Linked DNA regions of Arabidopsis thaliana. The protein of the gene in region 2 interacts with the protein of the main gene of each other region in a pairwise test. Each region holds a gene or a part of one and is shown on either strand. Other genes may lie near its edges. The genes, in order: AT3G18060 and ACT7.

The links.
Region 1: the proteins of ACT7 (region 2) and AT3G18060 interact in a two-hybrid assay, tested with the Arabidopsis thaliana proteins (2 studies listed by BioGRID).

What each region holds. Positions count from the first base shown.
Region 1 is NC_003074.8:6,178,272-6,189,989, reverse strand, and holds AT3G18060 (transducin family protein / WD-40 repeat family protein), read right to left. Parts: upstream 6,379-11,718; 5' UTR 6,111-6,378; coding exon 5,722-6,110; intron 5,497-5,721; coding exon 5,335-5,496; intron 5,218-5,334; coding exon 5,031-5,217; intron 4,751-5,030; coding exon 4,325-4,750; intron 3,952-4,324; coding exon 3,544-3,951; intron 3,460-3,543; coding exon 3,202-3,459; 3' UTR 2,839-3,201; downstream 1-2,838. Other genes in the region: BGLU43 (beta glucosidase 43), read right to left, coding at 43-139, 236-416, 484-586, 679-710, 953-1,173, 1,264-1,379, 1,473-1,724, 1,823-1,905 and 4 more; AT3G18050 (GPI-anchored protein), read right to left, coding at 7,397-7,738, 8,394-9,059. UniProt on the Arabidopsis thaliana protein: Binds actin. Enhances the F-actin depolymerization activity of actin-depolymerizing factor (ADF) proteins.
Region 2 is NC_003076.8:3,043,266-3,054,983, reverse strand, and holds ACT7 (actin 7), read right to left. Parts: upstream 2,923-11,718; 5' UTR 2,722-2,922; intron 2,182-2,721; 5' UTR 2,176-2,181; coding exon 2,116-2,175; intron 2,022-2,115; coding exon 1,628-2,021; intron 1,542-1,627; coding exon 928-1,541; intron 830-927; coding exon 764-829; 3' UTR 293-763; downstream 1-292. Other genes in the region: IDL3 (inflorescence deficient in abscission (IDA)-like 3), read right to left, coding at 7,467-7,766; AT5G09800 (ARM repeat superfamily protein), read left to right, coding at 10,632-11,718. UniProt on the Arabidopsis thaliana protein: Actins are highly conserved proteins that are involved in various types of cell motility and are ubiquitously expressed in all eukaryotic cells.

The DNA.
Region 1 (11,718 bases), on a different chromosome or scaffold from region 2:
CACCTCTCGTTAACAACCCAAATCATAGACACATTGACCACATCATTTCTGGTCCCGTTTCAAAAGTTGTTTAAACCATAAAGCAGACATCTTGGGGTATCTCTTCAAGTCCTTGTAATCAACGTACACTATTCCAAACCTAGGCAGAAAAAAATCATTAGAAGAGTACCATATAATATACATTTTCTCAGAAATAATCATATACCCAATAGGTATTCATTAGTTAATTCCGCACCTTGAAGTATATCCTGATAACCATTCGAAATTATCTAGCAACGACCACGCAAAATATCCAGTTAGATTGGCTCCATCGTCTACTGCTTTTTTAAGCTGCACTAAATAGTCTCTATAATACTTGACTCTTGTTGTATCATTTAGTCCTTGAGTTAGAGTTATGTTGCCCGGATCATCCATACCTATAAAGATTATACACTTAACATCTCTAGAGATCTTGGATGTGGAACAAAAATTTATATTGAATACCGTTTTCGGAGAGAATCATAGTTGGGTTGCCATAACGTTCCTCAATGTACATTAAAGCTTTGTACATTCCCCATGGGACATTGTATAACCATTCTGAATGTGCCTGAATAAAATTAGATTAATTCATAATCAGACAACTAAGCAATCATCAGAGAGAGTTAACAAAACTCAGAAGAAAACATATATTTATCTCACCCTTGGACCAATTGGTGTCCCATTCTTTGCAACTGCACATATTAAGATTTCTCAGTATTAATATCATGCACATTTATATTGCCACAGTCCGATCCCATAAGGACGAACCAGCCTTACTTTTGGTCCAAGTCTAGAGTAATTTTTCTCATACTGACATATTTGCTTTTGAAACATTCAGACCCTAACTTAGCTAGTTATATGTTCTATAATCTAAGCAAGATCAAGTTCATTCATAAGTCATAACGGATAAATGTACATATGAACAAAAACTTACAGTTAAAAGTGACGTTCCAATCTTGTTGATAACCCAAATCTTTAGGTGTGGTAGATATTTTAGGATCAGACATGAAATAAGTTGTGTATTGGTTTATCCCCACGAAGTCTATGGAACCTTTCACCATTTTCACTTCTTCCTCGGTGAACTTCGGAAGTCTCTCCTTCACGATGTTTTGCAACGTATTTGGGTACTCTCCATACACTATTGGGTGAATAAACCTTCAAACATTATCCCCACACAAAAGATATTCTTATAAGCTCACCAAAATGTAACTGGAAAAATATGAGTCCAAAAGTTTGAACCGTTACCATCCAACATGGAAGTCTCTTGCTCTTTGAGCAGCGTCATTGTCTGCTTGACTACTCGTAAGTGGCTCAAACCAAACAAAATCCAGTAGAATCCCAACCCTTCCCTTTTGTTTCTCCTGAGAAGAATTTGTCAGTTAGATCTTTAGTAATCATATACATGTTTAATATCATAGAAACAACTTGAAGGAGCCTATAAGGTTATTACATACCTGATAATTTTGGCGGTATCTCTGGACGGCTGCTGCATGTGCCAAGATAAGGTGATGTGCAACAATGTATGGTTCAGTTGCAGAGTTTCCATCAGTGCAGTTTCCAAATGCTTCAGAGCATCTACCCGGCGCAAAAATGCCGTTATCATAACCTAGAGCAGCTACTACACGAGGCTCGTTAAACGTCATCCAGTTCTTCACTCTATCTCCAAATGTTTGAAACAAAACTCTGCGTAATCCGCAAAATCTTCCCTGTAAATTGCCTCATATCAAATGATTGTAGCTTTTGAGGATGTTGCAGTAAGAGACTAAAGATTAAAAGATAAATCACAAGTTGGTGCTTACACTACTTGTTTACTAAGCAGGCCTTGATACTTTTGTTCCAAGGCTAAAGGAAGGTCATAGTGGTACAGATTAGCATACGGTGTAATCCCTAAGAATTAAGTTACATTCATAAGACAATTAATGATCAAATCAAAGTGTCTATGAATGTTCAATGTACTAAAAATCTATACCTTTTTCGATCAAGTAATCGATCAATCTATTGTAATAAGCAACTCCATTCGAGTTGATTTTACCGGATCCCTCTGTATTCATAAGCTGAAGTTATAGACTAATCTTAATCTAAAATATAAGCAATGTAATTAATTTTATACATTATCCAGTAATACCAGGGAATATTCTAGACCATGAAATGGAAAATCTGTAGGCATCAATGTTCAGGTTCTGCATCAAATCTACATCTTCCTGAAATGTGATTAACATGAACACCAAAGGATGTACATTATAATATAACCACACACAAAAAAAAATATATACATGATGATTTAGGAACAAAAGATTAGTGACAAGAAGTACCTTGTAACGATGATATTGGTCCACTGTTATCTCAGCAGTGGCATTGTTGGCAATCTTACCTGTGTTTTTTTACCAATGGTAAATAAGAAATCGAAATGATTAACTAATCAGTTTAATTAGTGAATTGTAATTAGATTGATTATGAGATTAACCAGGAATCTTGACGAATGCATCCCAAATGCTTGGACCACGACCATCTTGGTGGGTCTCGCCTTCGACCTGGTAAGCTGACGTGGCGGTTCCGAACAAGAATCCTTCCGGAAAACTCTTTCTGTTAAGACCGCCGGTGGCCAATGGGACGGCGTCTCCGGACGGCGACTCTTCGCCGGAGCGGGAAGCAGAGAGGAGGAGGAGAAAAAGAAACATGTGAAGCTCACTATGGGACAGAATGTGGGGACTGGGGAGTGAATTATGAACGAGGATCAATGTGTGTCTTCTTGCTTCAGGCTTAGAATTATAAGCGAGATTAATTATTTAATCATTTTTGTTAATAAGGTTGATTAACTATTGATCAGATAAATTAATTGAAAAATCTCCTCTGTTTTCATCTACTTCAGAAAACAACTTTTGTAAGAAGAACAAATATTATAGAGCCCAAAAATCATTGAGAGAAAGCACAATCTCAAGTCCCATTCTGTATCAGTAATCTTCTGATAATGAAAAAAAATCTGACTCAAGATCTCAGTTTCAGACCAAAACAGAGCATTCATTTTTGACAAAAGATATGCAGACAAAAAAAAAAACAGACACACACATCAACACAGCCACGGCCAAACGGAAGATTCACAAAAAAAGCCTTCAAAAGTAGTAGAAGCTTTCCAAAGAGACAAGATAGGACTTGTCCAGAGATCTTTATAATTTACGTCAAGTCTTATTGAGGAGTAAAGCTCCAGACGCGGATACAAGCATCTTCACCAGAACTCACTACATGGGAATCATCAGCAAAACCCAGACCATATACTCCACCTAAGTGAGCTCCTTTTATTGTCATGCGTGACGAAGCAGGTTTGTCCACTTCATACACAATCACACACGTGTCCAAGGATCCTGTGGCAACCATAGTGCTGTTTGGAGACCAAGCTAAGCAGTTTATGCGGGCGCTATGGTACAACATGTTCTTGAGTTTCATCTGTTTAAAAAAAAAGGGACGATATAAGATCAGTGTTTGTGTTCCAGATTCATGGAGAGATTCTAAATAATCTTAATTACTTACCTCTCTGGAGACTCTGTCCCACACAACTGCTTCTCTGTTCAAATCAGCTGATGCAAACATAGACAAATCTGGAGAGTAACGTATGACGCTGATGGCGCCTCTGTGTCTCTCGAGAACTGCTTCCTCGGTGAGGGAGTCACCATTAATAGAATACAAATGGAGTTTACCGTCTTGGCCACCGATGACAGCTTCGGTTCCATCAGGTGTTACTGCCAAAGCAGTGACAATGAACCCAAGGTTGATGGTTGACACTACTTTCCCATCACGAAGAAACACAACTCCTGACTCAAAGGTCACCAGAAGGAGATCGGGTGAGAGTGGTGCAAGGCTTAGATCCTTTGGTTGATTTCCAATGTCGATAGACTCTTCATTTGTGCATTGATCATCTTTATAGGAGATCCTGGATATCTGAATAAGAATCACATAGTGAATAAACGTGAGTTAGTTGCTTCAATAACAATAATGCTTGGAAGCAATTAGATAACCTACGAAATAAAAAATATTAGTCACTGCTAGTCTTACAAGGTAAAGACCATTTGGCCTTCAGTGATCGCTCTTTTAAATTCTCTAAACCACAAGATCATTAGTATATTTTTCCAAAGTGTTAATAATCTTAAGAGACCATTGTGTCTTTAGAATTGCCAATATTTCAGAGAGAAAAAAACCTAATTCACTTGTTTCGTCCTTACATTCAATCCCCTAAACACCAAATTCAGACACTGCAGAAATCAAGGTGACAAGTCCTACATGTGAATAAAAATTAAAGTGAGAACCAGTTTACCTTATTGTCATATCCAGAGGTCACGATCTCTTCTTCATGGGCAGCAAAGCACTTTATTTGAGAGTTTTGTGTCCGCTGCAATTTACCGCAAAAACCACGGCCTAGCATCCATTTACATATCAGTCCATCATAACTACCGGATAATATGTAATCAGCGTTTCCTTTAAGCACAGCTAAGGAAGAGACGTTCTTCATGTGTCCCGAAAACTGAAAGGGGGATTTATCCAGATCGCTTGCTGAGAATATGCTGATTGTGCCACCTAGAGAAACAGTGACAATATGATCGTTCTGCCACAGACACCCAACAAGCATATCGTCTACTCCACCTGATGATCCAGGACAGTTCAATGTTGTATTCAATGATCCACTACCGTTGTCTGATATATCCCATATTTTGGCTGACTTGTCTGCGGAAACAGTGAGCACCTGGTTGATGATTCAAACATATACAACACGTGAGTACAGACGTAGCATAACATCAACCATGATGTAATCAACAACTAGAAGATAGAGAATATGTCATTCAGTCTTCATAGATACACCCAAGATAGTTCATTTATGTACGTCATACTGCAGCAGGTTAGACCAATTACTTCCATACGCTATTCTAGTAGACCTTGTTTAAGCCTAATGTAGTTTGAGCGTAATATGAGGGAATCAGGCAAGAGTTGAGAATACGGAACAACAAACAGATATAACTTAGTACCTGTTTACCATCAGGACTCCAGCTGACTGCATAGATGCTACCTTTATGCCCATCATCAGAAGACAGTTCTCCCAGTATCTCACAAGTCTTTCCATCATATATGATTCCCTTCTTATCTGAACTCACAGTAATGAACTTACTTCCATCTGGTGCAAACCTCACACAGTTGACAAAGTTGGAATGCTCTCTGTCGACCAATAAACAGCAATCTCGTAAACAATTCAGAAACTCACAAGCAGGAAATTTAAACAGATATCGAAAGTGTCATATTTCTTTAAAGAAAGGGAGCACATGAATATCTGACCTGCTTGAGAGCTTGAACTTAAAAGGAGGACCTTCATAGAAATTCACCAGAAAATCCTCCCCACAAGTTACAATACGGAACGGCCTAGTTGGCTTGATAGCACAGCTAAGAACTCTCCTAGAATGACCATCAAACTCTCCCACATTTGATCCTGAATCCCACCTAATAAACCAAGACAAACAATGAGTCAATAATCCATCAAAGTTGAGAAGAAGAAACAAAATGCTCAATTTCAATCTGATTAATATCGATCCGATTCAACAAAATAAAAGCAACACCAGCAGAAAAACAAAACCTTTAGTCCGATCAATCAAAATCAACGAAAACAACATTGAGCTAAGCACTATAAAAATCAAATCTTTATCTAAAAAGCAAAACCAAACTCACATGAAAGCACGAACAAGAGATTTGCCTTTGCCATCACCAGAAGCAACGATCCTCATCCCATCAGCAGACCACTGAAGATCATCGATCCGACCAGCCAAAACCTTAAACTCATTCTTCAACACATGATCGTTGTAAGCTCCCCAGATTCTAACAGTCCCCGACACATCACCAGACGCGATCCACTCTCCGTTCGGAGAATATCGCGCCACAGTAGCTGGGTAAGCGTGCTCACCATAGATAGAGACCTTTAAAGGATTGTTAAGGTCGAGAGTCACGACGGATCGACCATTAGTGTAGAGGATGGTATCGGACTTCGAGTTACCAGAGATCAGAATTCCTCTACCTCTCTCCGTCGATGGAACACAAGCATAGGTTTCTGAAAGCTCCATCAGAACCGAGGACTTTGCAGAGATTGTTTTTGGGTTTACGGGGAAGAAGAGAGACGAGGAAAATGGAAGGACGGATTTGAGTCTTTTTGAGTTTTGTTTGACATTACATTTGTTAATATTTAGTTGTTGTAATTAGAAAGATAATGTAATGATAATCATTGTTGCAACATTCACTTCTCTGGCACAAACTCATTAGATAACCCAAAAATAATGTAAAGTGTAGTTGTATAATAGTTTTGTGCTAATCACTTTGTTTCTTAAGACTTACATATCATAATGCAGAGTAGTATATAACATTAAGAATAATAAACTTCCATTGATTTTTGTTGGAAATACCTTGAATTATGAACAATTTTGAAAAATTATATATTTTCTACTAAATTAGAAATGAGTGGAACCAAATTATTTCTCTATTATCTTCATTCCATTTTAATCAATTCCTCAATCTCTCATGTTTTTACCATTGTAATTTTAGATTAGACTAATGGGTGTGTTATTTGGCCAAAAAGGTAAATGTGCGGCCCATGGGCAAGTTAGTTTAGCCCAGCCCAGTTATATACGCAATAATGCCAAAGTCAATGAATCGCTAGCAGTTGATTGGCGCATTAGTGAACCTCTATCTAATCACTACCACAAAAAAAATGTTATGAAATATCTTTTTCATAATATTTCTCAAAGGAAAAATCTAACGAATGGAAGCATTCGATTATTGAATGAAATATTATTTGAACTATATGAGAAAATAAAGTGTCAGTCGTGGGGCTTTTTACATCTCTTGGTCGCATTGATAATTCATATAAAATATAGAATATGATAGGGATGAATCATGAATGTATTATTGTTATAGGAGCATCCGTGGTTAGAGAGAAGATAAGGAAACATAAGAACAAAGCTGTCACAAGTCTCTCTGTCTCTCTCAAACCAGCCACACCACCTCGTCCCCATTACTCACATGCCTTTCTCTGACTATTATTCTTCTCCTCCCAAAAACTGATATATTTATATTGATTGCGCTCATATAATTTGATATGACCGAAAATATTGTTGAAATATTTTCAAATTGTGATTTTTCAATATTTAATTGACAAAATACAACAAGATTTTTTTGATGTAATAAAATGTTAAAGAACATGGCTACTAAAACAACAACGACACCAAAAAACTAATTTACAAAGACAGAACCAAAGCCCTCTCTCTTTCTCTCTATCTGAATTTCACTTCTCTCAACCAACCACGTAATGCCACGTGCTCCACGTCACAATCAAATCCAACCATGGTGTGCCACGTCACCACGACCTTATTAGGACTAATGTGATAACGCTGTAAAGTAAGAAGTGGACCAAGTGGTGCGGATACTGAAGTGAAGTTGGCGAGCCGTTGGAGAATTCGGAAGAATCGACGGCTAAAGGCATGCCGTCGCTGCCGAGAGCACATGAACGTGGCACGCCATCGTGGTTCAGCATGACGGCTCGGAGGACAGAAGTGACAGTGGGGAAATAAGCAGTACGGTTCTTAGCGAGAAGCCAAGTGAGACCCATGAGGACACAGTCTTTGTTGTGCATCTTTGCTGTTCTGTTTCGGTCTTCCTTTGATGGGTTTCTTGTCCCTGAAGTTTTCTTCGGATTTAGCTGCAAAATGAAGCAGAAGTGTTTGTTTTGATTAGGGTTTGTTGCTGCTGACTAAAGTAATGATTGAGGATTGTAGAAAGTAGAAAGGTGGCAACTAGTTGCTAAGCTTTTGGCTATGGTGGGTTGGTGATTAAGATGCAGAAGAATGAAATCATATGATGGAAGACAAAACGTCGCGTGGAGATCACGGATTCTGTTAGCGCGTATATGTGTGTCAGACTGTCAGATAGAAAGAGAACAAAAAGCTAAAGAACAAAACTTTTCCCAAATTACTACCATTCGCCATATGATGGATAGATCAGAAAGAATCCTAAACTACATAATTCCAAATCTTCACTCACTCATATAGTAAAACCCTAATCCTTAAACACCAAATAAATATCATTAAAAAAGGGCTTCTAAACTTTGGACTAAACCTTACATAGTTAACTACTATAACTAGTCCATCAATTCCTCATTACTCATCCAAAAAATTGTCTTAATCAGTCAATCAAACAAAATCCAGAAGCTAAACACCAACAACGCTTCAGGGTATCTATAGATTATCTAAAAGTTACTAGATTTGCACACACATTTTACCAATTTAGCCAACCTAATTCCATTTGAACTTCACAGTGGCAGCTTCTAAATATAGCAGCAAAGTTAGTGACTTTACCTTATAGAGACTGTTCAAGCACTTGTTGCAACCAAGAAGAGGTGAGAATCCATCAGCATTGTTGTGGCTTCCACTCAAACAATCAGTCTCTAATCTATCAACTCTCTCGTCTCCAACGAGTCTCCCTTCATCATTCACTCTAAAAGCCTCGGAACAGCTCAACGGATGCAATCTGATTCCACAGTAGCAGTAAACGACGTCGCAAGTCTCGTTCGGTCTAGTGAGCTCAATCCCTCTCTGCCTCAGAGATTTCCCTAATCCGTCAACGCAAGTCTCCGAGTCATCGGGAAGCAAAGGCATATCTTCTTCAGGAGTCGTTACCGCGGCGGAGGAGGAGGATGAGTTTCTTGCGGCGGCGGAAATCGAACGGCTTAGAGCAGTGGTTGAGTAAGCAGAGTAGAGCCACGCGCCTAGTACGGGGCAACATTTTCCTTTGTGGAGCTTTTTGCCGCTGCAAGCTGACTTGATGCCGTGGAAGAGGTCTTCTGGTAAATCGAGTGGGCAGCCGGAGAAATCGGATTGCTCCGGGAAAGCGGGTATGGTTGCGGGTGGGGATGATTTGACCCGGAATGGCTGGACTGTGACCGGTTCAGGTGAAACGGGTGATAGAATGGTGAAGAGGAAGATGATGATGAGGGAAATGGAAGAAGGCGCGTGTTGGAACATCGCCGGAACAGAGGAGACAGAGTAATAGAGAAAGAGAGAGGGACAAAGAGTGAGAGACTGGAAGAGATGTGTAATAAAATATCACAAATGGGATCTCGATATATACCAATTTAATACTACTAAGTCAGTTTTTTTATTAGTTTTAATAATGTAAAAAAATCAGTGGAAAAAAATTTGTGATCAAACATTCTTAAAATTACAAAACATTTCTTATGCTTCGTTAACACTCCATTTTTCAGTGTGTAGGACAATAATAGAAAAAATAAACTTTTTAATCGTAATCCATGCTGGCGACTATTTTATGAATAATGAAATCATATTGGATTATTACTTATTAGGGTAACCTTAGTTGAATATTGAGGGTTGTGAATCACGGGACGATTGTTCTTTGCATTGAAACTTGAAAGATCACAGAGGCAAGTGATCGACAGGTTCACTGTTATTTGTTAATAATTTCAATACATAAGAGTTTGGAAGGATTCGTTTAAGTTTAGCTTATCATATTTGAGTACTTTTTTATTTTATTTTTAAACGCTACATATTTACTAGATTTGATATGTAATCTGTATAATCAATAAAATTAGCAGAGTCCGATTTCAACAATGCAGATAAACTACAAAATTATAGTACTAGCATGTGTTTGTCTCGTAATGCAGATAAACTTTTCCGTTAATTAGTTTACAATATAATGCAATTAATTTTTCGCAACTTAAATGTCATGGAAAACAAGAGACCATGCAATTTTTTCAATCACTAATATAGCTATAAGAAAAAAGTCGTCAGATTAGTTTTATTATGGTTATAGACTTATACTTTAGCTGTTTTGTCAATTTTCATGAAACTTTTGAGTTGTAATAAAACATTTTTTTGATAAAGAAAAATAAAGAGTTGTATAACAACTTTACTCTTATTTCCATGAAATAAAAAAAATATTCTATCTCAAAAGAAAAAGAAGTCTAACTTCTGTCTTTTTGTTCCAAGTGTTTTTTAGTCCTTTGATTTCTAGGAGTCTCTATTAATTTGGTTTTGTTTTGTTTCTTATTTTGTTGAAGCAAGAACTAGTTGGACGACGACGACCACAAGAACATAAACACTAGGAGTCTAGGATTTATCTCGAGATTAATAGTACAAGTATGTTCATGGAATTTTACTTTTATATCCATTTTACCCACAAAACACTATTGGTTGATAGTAAAAAGGAAAAAGAAAGAATTATGTGGAGCTCCATGTTAAAAAGGTAATGTCAGGCATGCGAATGGTTTGTTGTAGTGAAAGCTGCTTAAACTATAACACTACAAAACCCTTTTTCGGGAATGCCATTACAAAAGTATCTATCTATAACGTAATGCAAGATGGATTCACTTACGTCACAAGGACAAGAGACTATTTTACTATAGAGTTACAAATGGTAAATTTATAATATACTTACCGTGTTCAAACTTCAAATATCATATCAAAAATAAACTTAGTCAGTCAATTTGGATATAGACTTAGACTATAGAGTAAAAGAAGAAACTAAAATTTACAACATTATTGTAGGGGTTTTTGTACATATGGGCATATTTTGACCCAAAAATTAGAATAGAAACATATTTTATTTGGGCTTATAAGTCTGGGTACTTTTTGGTCTGTAAATGACCATTTTGCCCTCGAATGTGTTGATGATGATCTTCATCTTCTCCGTCGTGAGACAACAACCTCACTGTCTCCAAATTGAAATTGAGAAGTACAAAGAAGACGATAACTACCCATAACCCATGATATGAAAATCCAAATTAAAAATAAACTCATTATCGGAACTTCCTATAATTACTAAACCCATAACTCCACAAACGATAAATACCCAGATTTAATTTTGAATCAATCAACAATCAAATCTCGTTTCCTTCTCCTCCGATGATTCACACAACATTTCTATGACCAACCTTTTTCGATGAATCCAATGGAACTAATTAAACAAGTTTTGTTGCAAGAAAACTAAACCCTAAGGGATGATGTTTAGGGAACCCAAAGGCTTTAATTATAGACACAGATCGATCCATCTCAACTGTAAAACAATCTGATTGTGAATCATGAGCAACTAAGCCATCTTCATCAAACTCGCATCTGAATCAAGAGCTTGAAGAAGGAAGAAAGAATGAAGAAACAATAAAAGGATAAATTAGTCTTTTAGAGAAAAAGAAAATACCCATCCTTATAATCACTTGAGAATATGCCTGAATTCAGAAGAGACCATACTTTACTATGGTTTCCTCGTAATTGATCCCATTATTGTATATTATAGACTACTTTAAAGTTGATCTTTTCAAGTTATTTATGATATGTAGAGCTTGTAACAGCATTTTCACCAGCTCTAAAGAGATTATTAGTAAGTAAACCAAAAGAGAACAAAGAAAAAGTAAATGGGACGACTAAAAAGAAGAAATTCAGCAGTAAATCAAGTTAGGTTAGGCACATATGGGTCATGAAGAAAACACACACTTTAACTATAATTTATAATGCCTGATAAAGTCAAATACTTGTCAGGCATAAATCCAGGGGTTAACACAATTCTTCTTTAATTATATTCTCCATCCATTTTTAATACAACTCGACTTGATGGACAAATTGAAGACCAATGAAGGTTAAGTTGTTTTGTTCATAGCTCATGAGTCATGTC
Region 2 (11,718 bases):
GCTCTCCAAGCGTAACATTCTGTGTAGACAGAAGCGGCTTAATGGAATATTCACATTCAATCCATTGTAAGCTTTCAAAATGATTTCGACTAAACTGTTGCAATTGAATCCAGCTTTCTTTTTAACCAAATAAATCATTTCTTTTCCCTTTTGTCAACATACAATGTTTGTTTTACGTATTTTGATATGTGGAGTCGATTACATTAGGTCATTTGTTTTTTAACTAGTGAATAAACTTGGTTTCTTAGATCAAATTCTTTTCTTGTTTCGCATCAGAATGGTAATACACACACAATTTTTGCTGGAGTAAAACATAAGCCACTCACTTACCAAATTCTTAGGCTAAGTATATATTTTGGGCGCCAATATAACAATCGACAATACATAATAGCTGCATTGTCACCCGATACTTAAATAATTGTCTCATACAAATAAAAGATTGAAGACATTCAAACAATATTTATATGTGAAGACAAAAAAAAACCAAAAAAATGAACCAAGGACCAAATATAATATGATATTTTTTTGCTTAGGGACAAAAAAAAACAGCATCATCACAAGCATCCTAAAGAAAATAGAAGAGATAAAACAGAGATATAAAACTAAAGTACACAAGACTTCTTGACACAACCATAAGGTTCTAAAGAGAAAAAAGAAAATAAAATCCACATAACAACAGATAGTTCAATTCCCATCTCAACTAGGGAAAATAGATTTTTTTGTAACAAACTCACCACCACGAACCAGATAAGACAAGACACACTTAGAAGCATTTCCTGTGAACAATCGATGGACCTGACTCATCGTACTCACTCTTTGAAATCCACATCTGATTCACACACACAAACAAAACAAAATTTCAGTATTTTCACTCATGTTTCATAAATGGAGCTGAAAGTTTTAAAGAGGCGGAATTGGGATTTTTACCTGTTGGAAGGTGCTGAGGGATGCAAGGATTGATCCTCCGATCCAGACACTGTATTTTCTCTCTGGCGGTGCAACCACCTTGATCTTCATGCTGCTAGGTGCAAGAGCGGTGATCTCTTTGCTCATACGGTCAGCAATTCCTGGGAACATGGTGGAACCACCACTGAGAACGATGTTTCCATAGAGATCCTTCCTGATATCGACATCACATTTCATGATGGAGTTGTAAGTTGTTTCATGGATTCCAGGAGCTTCCATTCCGATGAGCGATGGCTGGAACAGAACCTCAGGACAACGGAATCTCTCAGCTCCGATGGTTATGACTTGTCCATCAGGTAGCTCGTAGTTCTTCTCCACTGAAGAACTGCTCTTGGCTGTCTCTAGCTCTTGCTCGTAGTCAAGAGCGACATAAGCAAGTTTCTCCTTTATGTCACGGACAATTTCCCGTTCTGCGGTAGTGGTGAACATGTAACCTCTCTCAGTGAGAATCTTCATGAGTGAGTCTGTGAGATCCCGACCCGCAAGATCAAGACGAAGGATAGCATGAGGAAGAGCATACCCCTCGTAGATTGGCACAGTGTGAGACACACCATCACCAGAATCGAGCACAATACCTGTTACAAAAAGAGAACGACTTTAAGTAAATACAAGTAAGAAGATAATATAACTCAGACTTGGATGTTTAGAGTTAAGAACTAACCGGTTGTACGACCACTGGCATAGAGAGAAAGAACGGCCTGAATGGCAACATACATGGCAGGGACATTGAATGTCTCAAACATGATCTGAGTCATCTTCTCCCTGTTAGCTTTAGGGTTAAGAGGTGCCTCTGTGAGTAGAACTGGGTGCTCCTCAGGGGCAACACGAAGCTCGTTGTAGAAAGTGTGATGCCATATCTTTTCCATGTCATCCCAGTTACTTACAATACCATGTTCGATTGGATACTTCAGAGTGAGGATACCTCTCTTGGACTGAGCTTCATCACCAACGTAAGCATCTTTCTGACCCATACCAACCATGACACCAGTGTGCCTAGGACGACCAACAATACTTGGGAACACTGCTCTCGGGGCATCATCACCAGCAAAACCAGCCTGTTAATATACAAAAATCATGATCAGTAGTCTTACACATGTACAACAAAGAAGGTTAGAACCATACAGTATCTAAATAAACAGTCTAACTCACCTTCACCATTCCAGTTCCATTGTCACAGACAAGTGGCTGAATATCCTCACCATCGGCCATTTTTCACTAAAAAAAAAGTAAAATGAAACCGAAATGAATTGGATAAGCTCATGAAGTAAACACGAATCAGATCACAACTTAGTTTCGAAGATTAGCAGCGTTTATTGAAACTCAAACATCGCTTCATATGTTGATTATTGAGAAAACTAGGTTCAAACTTCACAGATCTCAAAGAGAAAACACTAGAATTCACTTGTAAACATCAACACCTAACAGATCGAAGATTAAAACCAGATCAATCGAGCATACACGAAGTCATTTCGAACTAAACAACTTCACTTCACTGAAAAAAACAAAAATAACAGCGAGAGATCGACAGAAGCGAGAAGAATCCTCAAACTCCATAGATCTAACACATAAACCTTAAGAATTAGCTCAGATCGATCCAACAAGCACGGATCGAATCACATAACAAGCAACCCCCAAAACAAAGATTTTCTCATAAAACCACAACGCATGCTAAACAGATCTAGCGAAATCGGCATAGAGAATCAACAATAACGACTAACGAGCAGCAAAATCAAGCGAACGGATCTAGAGACTCACCTTGAAGAAGAAGAAGATGATACAGAAGATTCGAGAAGCAGCGAGAGAGAAAGATAGAGAAATGGAGGAGAAACAACAGCGGCAGCAGCTAACACTAAGGAAAGCGAAACGAGTACATGTGCGAATATATAGCTCTACGATTTTTCTCACTCTTTTATTTTTTTCTATTTCTTCTATTATTTCCCAAATAAAAAATCTGGGAGAGACAATGCTATGGTGACCTGGCTTTCACACTCTTTTTAGCTCACCGACGCGTCTATGTTGCCGTTAGATTGTTTTGAGTTTGATCTAAACCGTTGATTATGATTCGGTTCAAATGAATTAGCCCGGGAGCCGTGACTGATGGTTACGGCTAAAGTTAGGCTCGGCTTAGGATTTATCGGCTCGGCTTTTGTGGTTCGGACATCGTTCAAATTTTATTCTCGAAATAACAAAAAACTATTAATAGAAAAATAATAAAAACTAGAAGAGCAGACAAACGGACTGTGGTTTTTTTCTCGTGACTGTTTTTTTGAAAATCTATGGAGTTGTTTATTCTTGTGAATTTTTAATACGATTTCGTCTTTCATAATTCAAACTTCACACTTATAAATTAGTAAACATTTGACGGGTAGACTGTTGCAACCAAGGAGAATTGACGGAAATGGTCGTTTATTAGCAATTTAGAACAAAGATTGGCCAATTGTTGACTAGTCCATTTTAAGAGCTTCAAAACTCTCATTTTTATGAATTTTATATGTAGAAAAAGAAAAACACAGATTATCGATATGTTTTATAATTTATATAGATTAAATTGCATCATCACAAAATATAAAACAAATTAATCGTAAGGTGAATTTTTTGATAAATGTTTAAACACTATTGTCTAGATTTTATTGTGACAAAAAATAAAATAAAATAAAAATATATTAAATGATTGATCGGTTTTCGTGATATATCTTTTTATGTTATAAATGTTTTAATGAGTTAATTGAAAATTCCTGAAACCAAAATTCTAGACCAAAACCCGAATAGGAGCAAGATACATATCAACTACGATTTTGAGGAATGCACACTAAAAGACTAGGATCTTTGAAGCATTTTTTATAAGTCACCTTTGTGAGTGTTCTATATGAGACCCAATTCTAAGAAAATAATGTGTGTAAAGTGTATTGTTTATCTATAAATGGTATCATTATAAATTGGTTTAACTGGCTTGGAATATAACATTGATATAGTCTCACAACATGTTATATGTCCATTGATACTATTGATTAATTTGGTATATGTCCAAAACAAGTTACTTCCAATAATTCAAATATTAATCACCTTTTAGAATGATTAAAAGCTTTAACAATAATCTTTTTGAAATAAAGTTTCATATTCCTTGTTGGAAAGCATGTGCTAAGTTCTTACACTTTGTCTATAAAAGTTGGAAAGTGGTCTAGCTTGGTTGGCAACTTAAATAATCAAAATAGTTATGGGTACTCTTCTAATTTATCATTCACCTTTATTTTCTTAACATTTTTGTCCAATAACAACATTACCTATAAAAAAAAAAAAAGAGAGAGGTAAAAGGTAAATTCAAAGGGAAGCCAAATCCGTCATCATTTGTAGTTTGTATTCCAAGGAAAGATAAGTTGATTTGAGCCACCATGCTTCTCATTTCCACTTTACATTGATTGCAAATTTTGAATTTGCCTCTTATCGTATACACATGAAATTGTTCTGTGTATCATCAAATTGGGGAAATATAGATGAATTCCCAACGATAAAACGGGCCGAAAATCTTTAATGGACTGAAATAATAACAATAATATAGTTGGGCTGATTTGGCCCAATAGGAAACTTAAAGACCCAATGATGCAGTCATCTTCACTGATTATCGTTTGGGTCTGGTTTGTATATTTCAAGAAGACCAAGACCAACCAAGTGGTTTAAACAGAGAATAAAAGCTTTTGATGTTTTAGAACTTGGATTGGTTTCAAACTTTAAAATATCTCCACATTGAAAACAAGATGAAAATATTTTCACGGACTATCATATCAGTCTATTCCTCTCCAAACAAAAAAACTCTGTATCATTTAAATTCGATTCTTCCCTCCATCGGTCACACTTCTTATTGGGCTATATTGGGCCTATTAGAGTTAGTTTGATATATGTTGCTGTCTGCAGTTTCTCGTTTGCTCATTTGAGTCATTTCTTTGCCTATGGTTAAAAATCTTAGCTAAAATGATGATTTAACACACACATACAAACAAATAAGTTAGACAGTGTTTTAATGTGTTAGATCCTATTCAATGATGTGTGCCAGATAAGTTCTAAATCATATAAAAAATCAGATACCATTTTCGAAGTGCATGTAAATCATAACTAGCAACACATGATATACTGTATGTTAAATGTTACAATATAATATATAATTCAGTCCCTAAATATAAATGAAATCATACGATCAAGATCAATATATAATGTTCTATCACTAACCAAAACATTCGACTCTTTCGTGCGAATATGTTTGTCGCTTGCATTTGGATACATATGTGAATTGTGAAGTAACAAAAATTTTTTTTATCAAAAAGAACAAAAACAAAAACAATTGATATACGTGATTGGAAATAATCGAGACCCTATCAACGCGGGGTACACCGCACGTGTATGTGCACGTGGACACGAGTGCACACGTACGCATTAGACACATCACATGCCCGCATATCATAATCCTGATATATATAGACACTCTAGTATTTGTCACAACGTTTTCAGCCAATTTGACTTATATTAATTTATTCAATCTCACACGCATGCATGATTAATAATAATACACACACCATCGCAGCGGACAGCGGTGACCAAAAATTTCAATTATCTAATAAACTCATTACCAACAAGGCGTCAAAATAAATCCAAATGTTGTAAGACCCATGTTGTAATTGAATAGCGCTGTCACGTAAAGGATGGTTAAGTTATCTAAACAATTTGAATACATATATGTGGAAGTACTTTTAATTCGATTCATGAGTGGTTGATCAATAAATATAAGATGTTTTAATATAGTAAGCTTTTTTAAATAATATATATATAGTAAGTTAAGAATTCAAACGTAGCTAAAACAAAAAAAAAGTGCAAACTTTATAAAATGTAGATTATTGCAGTTAGCAGAATTACTTCACTTGAATTAGAGTCGATCGTTCACTTTCATATGTCCGTAAGTGTATGTATTGGATAATACATATGAGGATAGACATGTACCCGTAAGTACTAATGTTTAAATGTGTATCCGATCCATTTTTATATAAGAACAAAAAAGGACAGTACTAAAAAAAATAATACAGTCAGAACTAACGTATGTAAAAGATACAATTCCCTATATACAACCCATTTTTGGAAGTTTTATTTTACAGTTTATGGAATCTCCTTGTTTGACCTTTTAACTAGCTTATCTATAGGCTATAGGCTATAGCTCAAGCCTAATTACTTGTTAATGACGTAAACTAAAGTTGTAAGCGAGACAATGGAGTCAAGGGACCATAGTGTTCTTGAAAAGTATAAATCATCACATGGAATTCGAATAAAGGTATTCAAAGTTTGAATGAGAATCAAGTGGATATGAATGATTTTTCAAAAATTATGCAAAAAGATACAAATGATACTATTTCACTAACCCCAAAAAAACGTTCAATGAACTTCTGAAATTCTTAGGAGATATCACATCAAATCCTCCAATATATCTCTGCAACCGTTGGTCAATCGTATTCACAACGACTACTCAATGACATTATTGAAACAAAAATTAAACAAAAAGATACATCCAAAGTAATCAACTATGTATATAAGTCCAATCTTAATCACACGTTTTAGTTAGAACATATACCTTTCAATCTTTCATTCCTTCTTATTTTAAAGAAATGACAATTCTTTTACGCACGAACACACATTATTTGTATTTGTCAATGTCCATATATTATGGGATAATGTTTATCTTAAAATACCATATATTTTCTCTATGCATGTCCGAATAACCCGAGGTATTTAAACACCAACTCAAATACTAGTATATGTAGAATAACCTTCTATTTGTTATTACCATAACTTATAAGAAGAGAGTGGATATAAAATATTGAAATCACTACTCGGCTTATATCCATCAATATTCTACCAAACAGATGTAGCCTAAATTGATCGGGACTTGTATATATCTCAACAATTATCATTATGTCCGTAATAATCCACGATTAGGATACAGTGAACATATGATATATAATTTCATATATATCAAATTAGAAGACGGAAAATAAAAAGAACAATAATTGTTTAATTAGAAACCGACCCTTCTATCCTCGGCTCTTGTACACTTAGAGTAGACAACTTTTTATATATGTTTTTAGTATAAATAAATAATAAAATTAAAGACATTTCACTTTTGTTGTGTATAAAGTGTCTTTAGGAAGACACAAATCTCAAATTAAAGACATTCATTATTTTATTATTATTATTTTTTATAGTTTTATATTTAAAGACATGTATAAATAACCACCAATGTGGATGCTCTTACGTACTTGCAATATTTCAATGGATCAAACAAGTTCCAATATTAAACTAAAAAATTTGATCGTATCCACAGCATTGCCCATAAATAAATCAAACTGAAATCTATTTACATCAGTTTGAACCAAATTCAAAAGGGGCAAAAACTAAAACAAAAAAAACTTACAGAAGTAAAAAGGATGATTCATTAATCAAACCTTTGAACTACAAGGTGAAGATTAAGTCTTAGTACTACTTAAACCGATTTCGTTATGTTTTCTGGAAGGACCAGAAGTTGGAACCGGAAACTGACGTGGCAGGGACCCCAAGAACTGTACACTTTTGTGATCTTGTACTTGATGATGGACATGATCATGAGGTGGCGAAACGACGTCCTTTTGTTTGGGTGGCGAGCTTGTGTTGAAGACGTTCGTGGTTCTTGCTCCATTGCAGCAACTCAAAAGGACAAGAAGAAGAACAAGAATAGGAATTGTTCTCGTGAGTTGATATTTTCTTGATCGGTGGCTTCGAGAAGACATTGGTGTAAATTGGGAGAGTGAATAGAGAGAGATGGAGGGAGGGAAGTGATTTTTGTTTGAAGGAGTTTTGGGTGGAAGTATTTAATATTTAAAAGGTTTTATTTTTTTGTTGATGGGTGATTGAATGAAAAAGAGAAGGCTGTGAATTGTTGACAGCTAGAAATATGGGCACATCAAGAGAGAGAGATTTTGATTGGAAAGATGTTGACTTATGGTTCTATTTGTATGTTTCTTTTTATTTACTCATATGGTTCTATTCTTATCTCTCTTATTAAGGAAAACCATGCACTAAACCTAAATCTAGTTAATCATGGATATTTACGTAGTAATTACATTATTCAAAACATACTAAATCAAATTGGAGACACAAGATGTTTTACCCCTATACTACCTTCACTTGAGTTTAAATTAACTATTTCTGAACATGATCTCATATTGGAATGCGTAAAAAACGTTGTTGGGCAAAAACAATAACGTCTCTTCATAGCTCTTGATATGACCCACAAGACAAAAAAAGTTGGAGGAAGACTCCTTTATAGCTGTCTTTAATTAGGTTCACGTATAAGTACTATTGCATATTTATGATATTTCTAATTTTGCGTTTGAAATAACATGTATTATGTGGGTTTGACCATGTCTGATCATATAATAACGGTTTTAGCATTGACCATTAGGATTACAGGTTATTAACATTGTCAAGATTTTTAGTTTACTTTCAATTTAAAATACATTTCACATTTGTTTCTATAATATATTATCAATTAATCCTCTCTGTGGAGTGAAAGTGAGAGGGGACAAAGAGAAGAAAACGAAAGAAAAATAATTAGTGGTGGGTCAAGGTCAAGCCTTTTCATTTCATGTTATGTGAAAAAAATATAATTCATATTACTTGACGACAAAATAAAATAATTTCATATCAGTTTGATAATACTATAGTGTATTCTATCCTTGCAATCTCTTACAATTGATTGAGCAAACCACGCGCATATGCATAAAAAAGTTTCTATATTTCCTAGATCTATCCTTTACGTAAAACAAGTTCGAGCTAAAACGTAACGTGACTTAACGACCAGGCAATACAACTACTGCACCGCAAGACCGGATCAACCAATTCTAAATTTTAGTCATCATCAAGACATCAACTTTTTATTTCTTGGACATCTTCCTTAACGTAATCATCAACTTAAAGACCGTAGCTTTAGTGGACACTTTTGAGTTGCATCCTCTTTTGCGGCATATATATTGAAGGCAGAGAATAATGACGATGAGACCCCTTTGTACGAACAAGATGTCAGAACTTAGAAGAACGAAGGAAACCGAACATAAAAGGCAACAACAGTAGTTGTGTCAGAACAACAACAGTAAATGAGATGTAAAAGCTTGTCCAGGCTAGTTCCTTAGCGTTACTGTAACAACACTGTTGAAAATATACGAGTATAAAATAGTACTATTACAAATTACAACCAAAGCGATTTTCGTGCTAATTACCGACCATCTGTTCATACACGTTTTTTTTTTTTTTTTTACCGACCATCTGTTCATACACGTTTTCTCCAATGCATCATTCTCATTGATTTTTTTTTTTTATTGTCACAGTATTTTTTTGTAATCCGAAAGGTTAAATGCTTCTCTCTAAAGTTTAGTGACTTTTGCAATACAATTACCCTCCGCCAAAAACTTAAGCGCAATTCTTCACTAAAAGAAACGTTATTTCATTGCAATCGCACTACATTTACATATATAATATAAACACGATCATAAAGATAACAAATGCGATGAGGCTCATACCAAAAAAACATAAAAAGTGCGATGAGGTTATAGCATAACGATAACTCGCCTTCTTTCTTTATTTGTTTTCTATGTATTGACATAGAAAAAGAGGAGTAAATTTAATGGGCCTCTGATTCGCAAAATAATAATAAATGACTAAGCCTACGAACGATGGTTTGGGTTACATACAAGGCCCATACACGAGCCTGGACTGTCACATTCACATAACCGAGTAGTAGTTTACTCTTGATGTCATTGACACTTTGTCGCTAAGGTAATCGATAAAGACTTTATTTAAAGTGGACTTTGAAAAGGAAAAGGAAGCAACAAAAGTTGCAAAAGGCCGTCGAATCTGTCTGGTCAATAAGTTCACTTCCTTTTATCACATTTGTTTTACAAATATTAATGACTACAACAATTCTTCAAGGGACAATACGAGTATTTTATTTACGAGAACTGGACAAATTGTTTATAGGCTCTTTAAAAGAAATCAAAAGGTTCCCGAGTTTCCTCGAACGGTGCAATTTTAAAATGTAAGTGGATCCTTAGGCGAAATCTGTACCGTTGGTGGTACTGTTAACGGTTGAGATGAACTCGAATACAAATCTTAGTCTACGCGCGCCGAAAGATACCCAGACTCAACTATTTGACCAAAAGTGAGAGAACGAAATACGGAAAAGTATTCATTTCATGGGTTTGGCATATAATAAATAAATATGTCAAAAAAGTTTTTTCTCCCAATGTTATACAAAGTTGAAAATAAACATGCAAAATTAGGGAAATTTTATTAACTACTGTAAATAATAATCTCAATTTAACAAAAAACTGTCTCTCCATATTATTTAAAACCTTAGCATAATTTAAAAAAATTAAGATTCATAAAATAAAATAACGTAATTATATTTTTTTTTAAATGGAAAAGTATCAAGAGGTTGTTCAAAAAGTGAATTTTGACGTCAGCATATTTGAACTCTCTCTCATGACTCATCATCTTCTTAAAACCTAACCACACGAGTCACGTCTCTTTCTCTCTCAGTGATTTTGTTATTTATTCTCTCTTTGAAACGTTTTCGCCGAAGAAGAAAGAGCAAAAACATGAGGAGCGATGATCTTTACATCACCACCGTCCCTTGTTTCTTCAAATGTCCAATTTCACTTGATGTGATGAAATCTCCGGTGAGTCTCTCCACCGGCGTTACATACGACCGAGTTAGCATCCAACGTTGGCTCGATGATGGTAACAATACTTGTCCCGCGACGATGCAGATTCTTCAGAACAAAGAATTCGTACCTAACCTAACTCTTCACCGTCTCATTGATCACTGGTCCGACTCCATCAACCGTCGAGCCGATTCTGAGTCTCCGGAATCCGATACTCCGACGCGAGACGAAATTAACGCTGCGATTGAGAGATTCCGGATCGAGAATGATGCTCGTTCGAAGATTCTCCGGTTCGCGAGAGAATCTGATGAGAACAGAGAGTTTCTCGCCGGGAAAGATGATTTCGTAGCGATGCTTGTGGATCTCATTAGCGATTCCAGAAACTTCTCTGATTCTCAATTGCTACTCGTTGGAGAAGCGGTGAAGATTCTGAGCATGATTCGTCGGAAAATCTTCGATCGGAGACGGTTATCGAATCTGATCTTAACGAACGGTGGTGATTGCTTGACTTCCTTCTTCCTATTGATTAAACGCGGGAATCCAAAATTGAAGATCGATTGCTCCGCCGTGCTTGAGTTTATCGCCGTCGACGCAGAGTCAAAGCTTATAATCGCCAAGGGAGAAGGATTGGTCACCGAGATTATTAAATTGATAAGCTCAGATTCCGACTCAAGCTTAATCGAAGCGAATTTATCTTTATTAATCGCGATTGCGTCTTCAAAACGCGTGAAACTCGCATTAATCAGAGAAAAGCTAGTCACGAAACTCACGAGTTTGTTAACAGATCCAACTACGAGCGTTTCAGTGACGGAAAAATGCTTAAAGCTTCTCGAAGCTATTTCGTCTTGTAAAGAAGGTCGATCGGAGATTTGTGATGGTGTGTGCGTGGAGACGGTGGTGAATAAGCTGATGAAAGTGTCGACGGCGGCGACTGAACACGCCGTTACGGTTTTGTGGAGCGTCTGTTATCTTTTCAAGGAAAAGAAGGCGCAAGATGCCGTTATTAGAATTAACGGCGTTA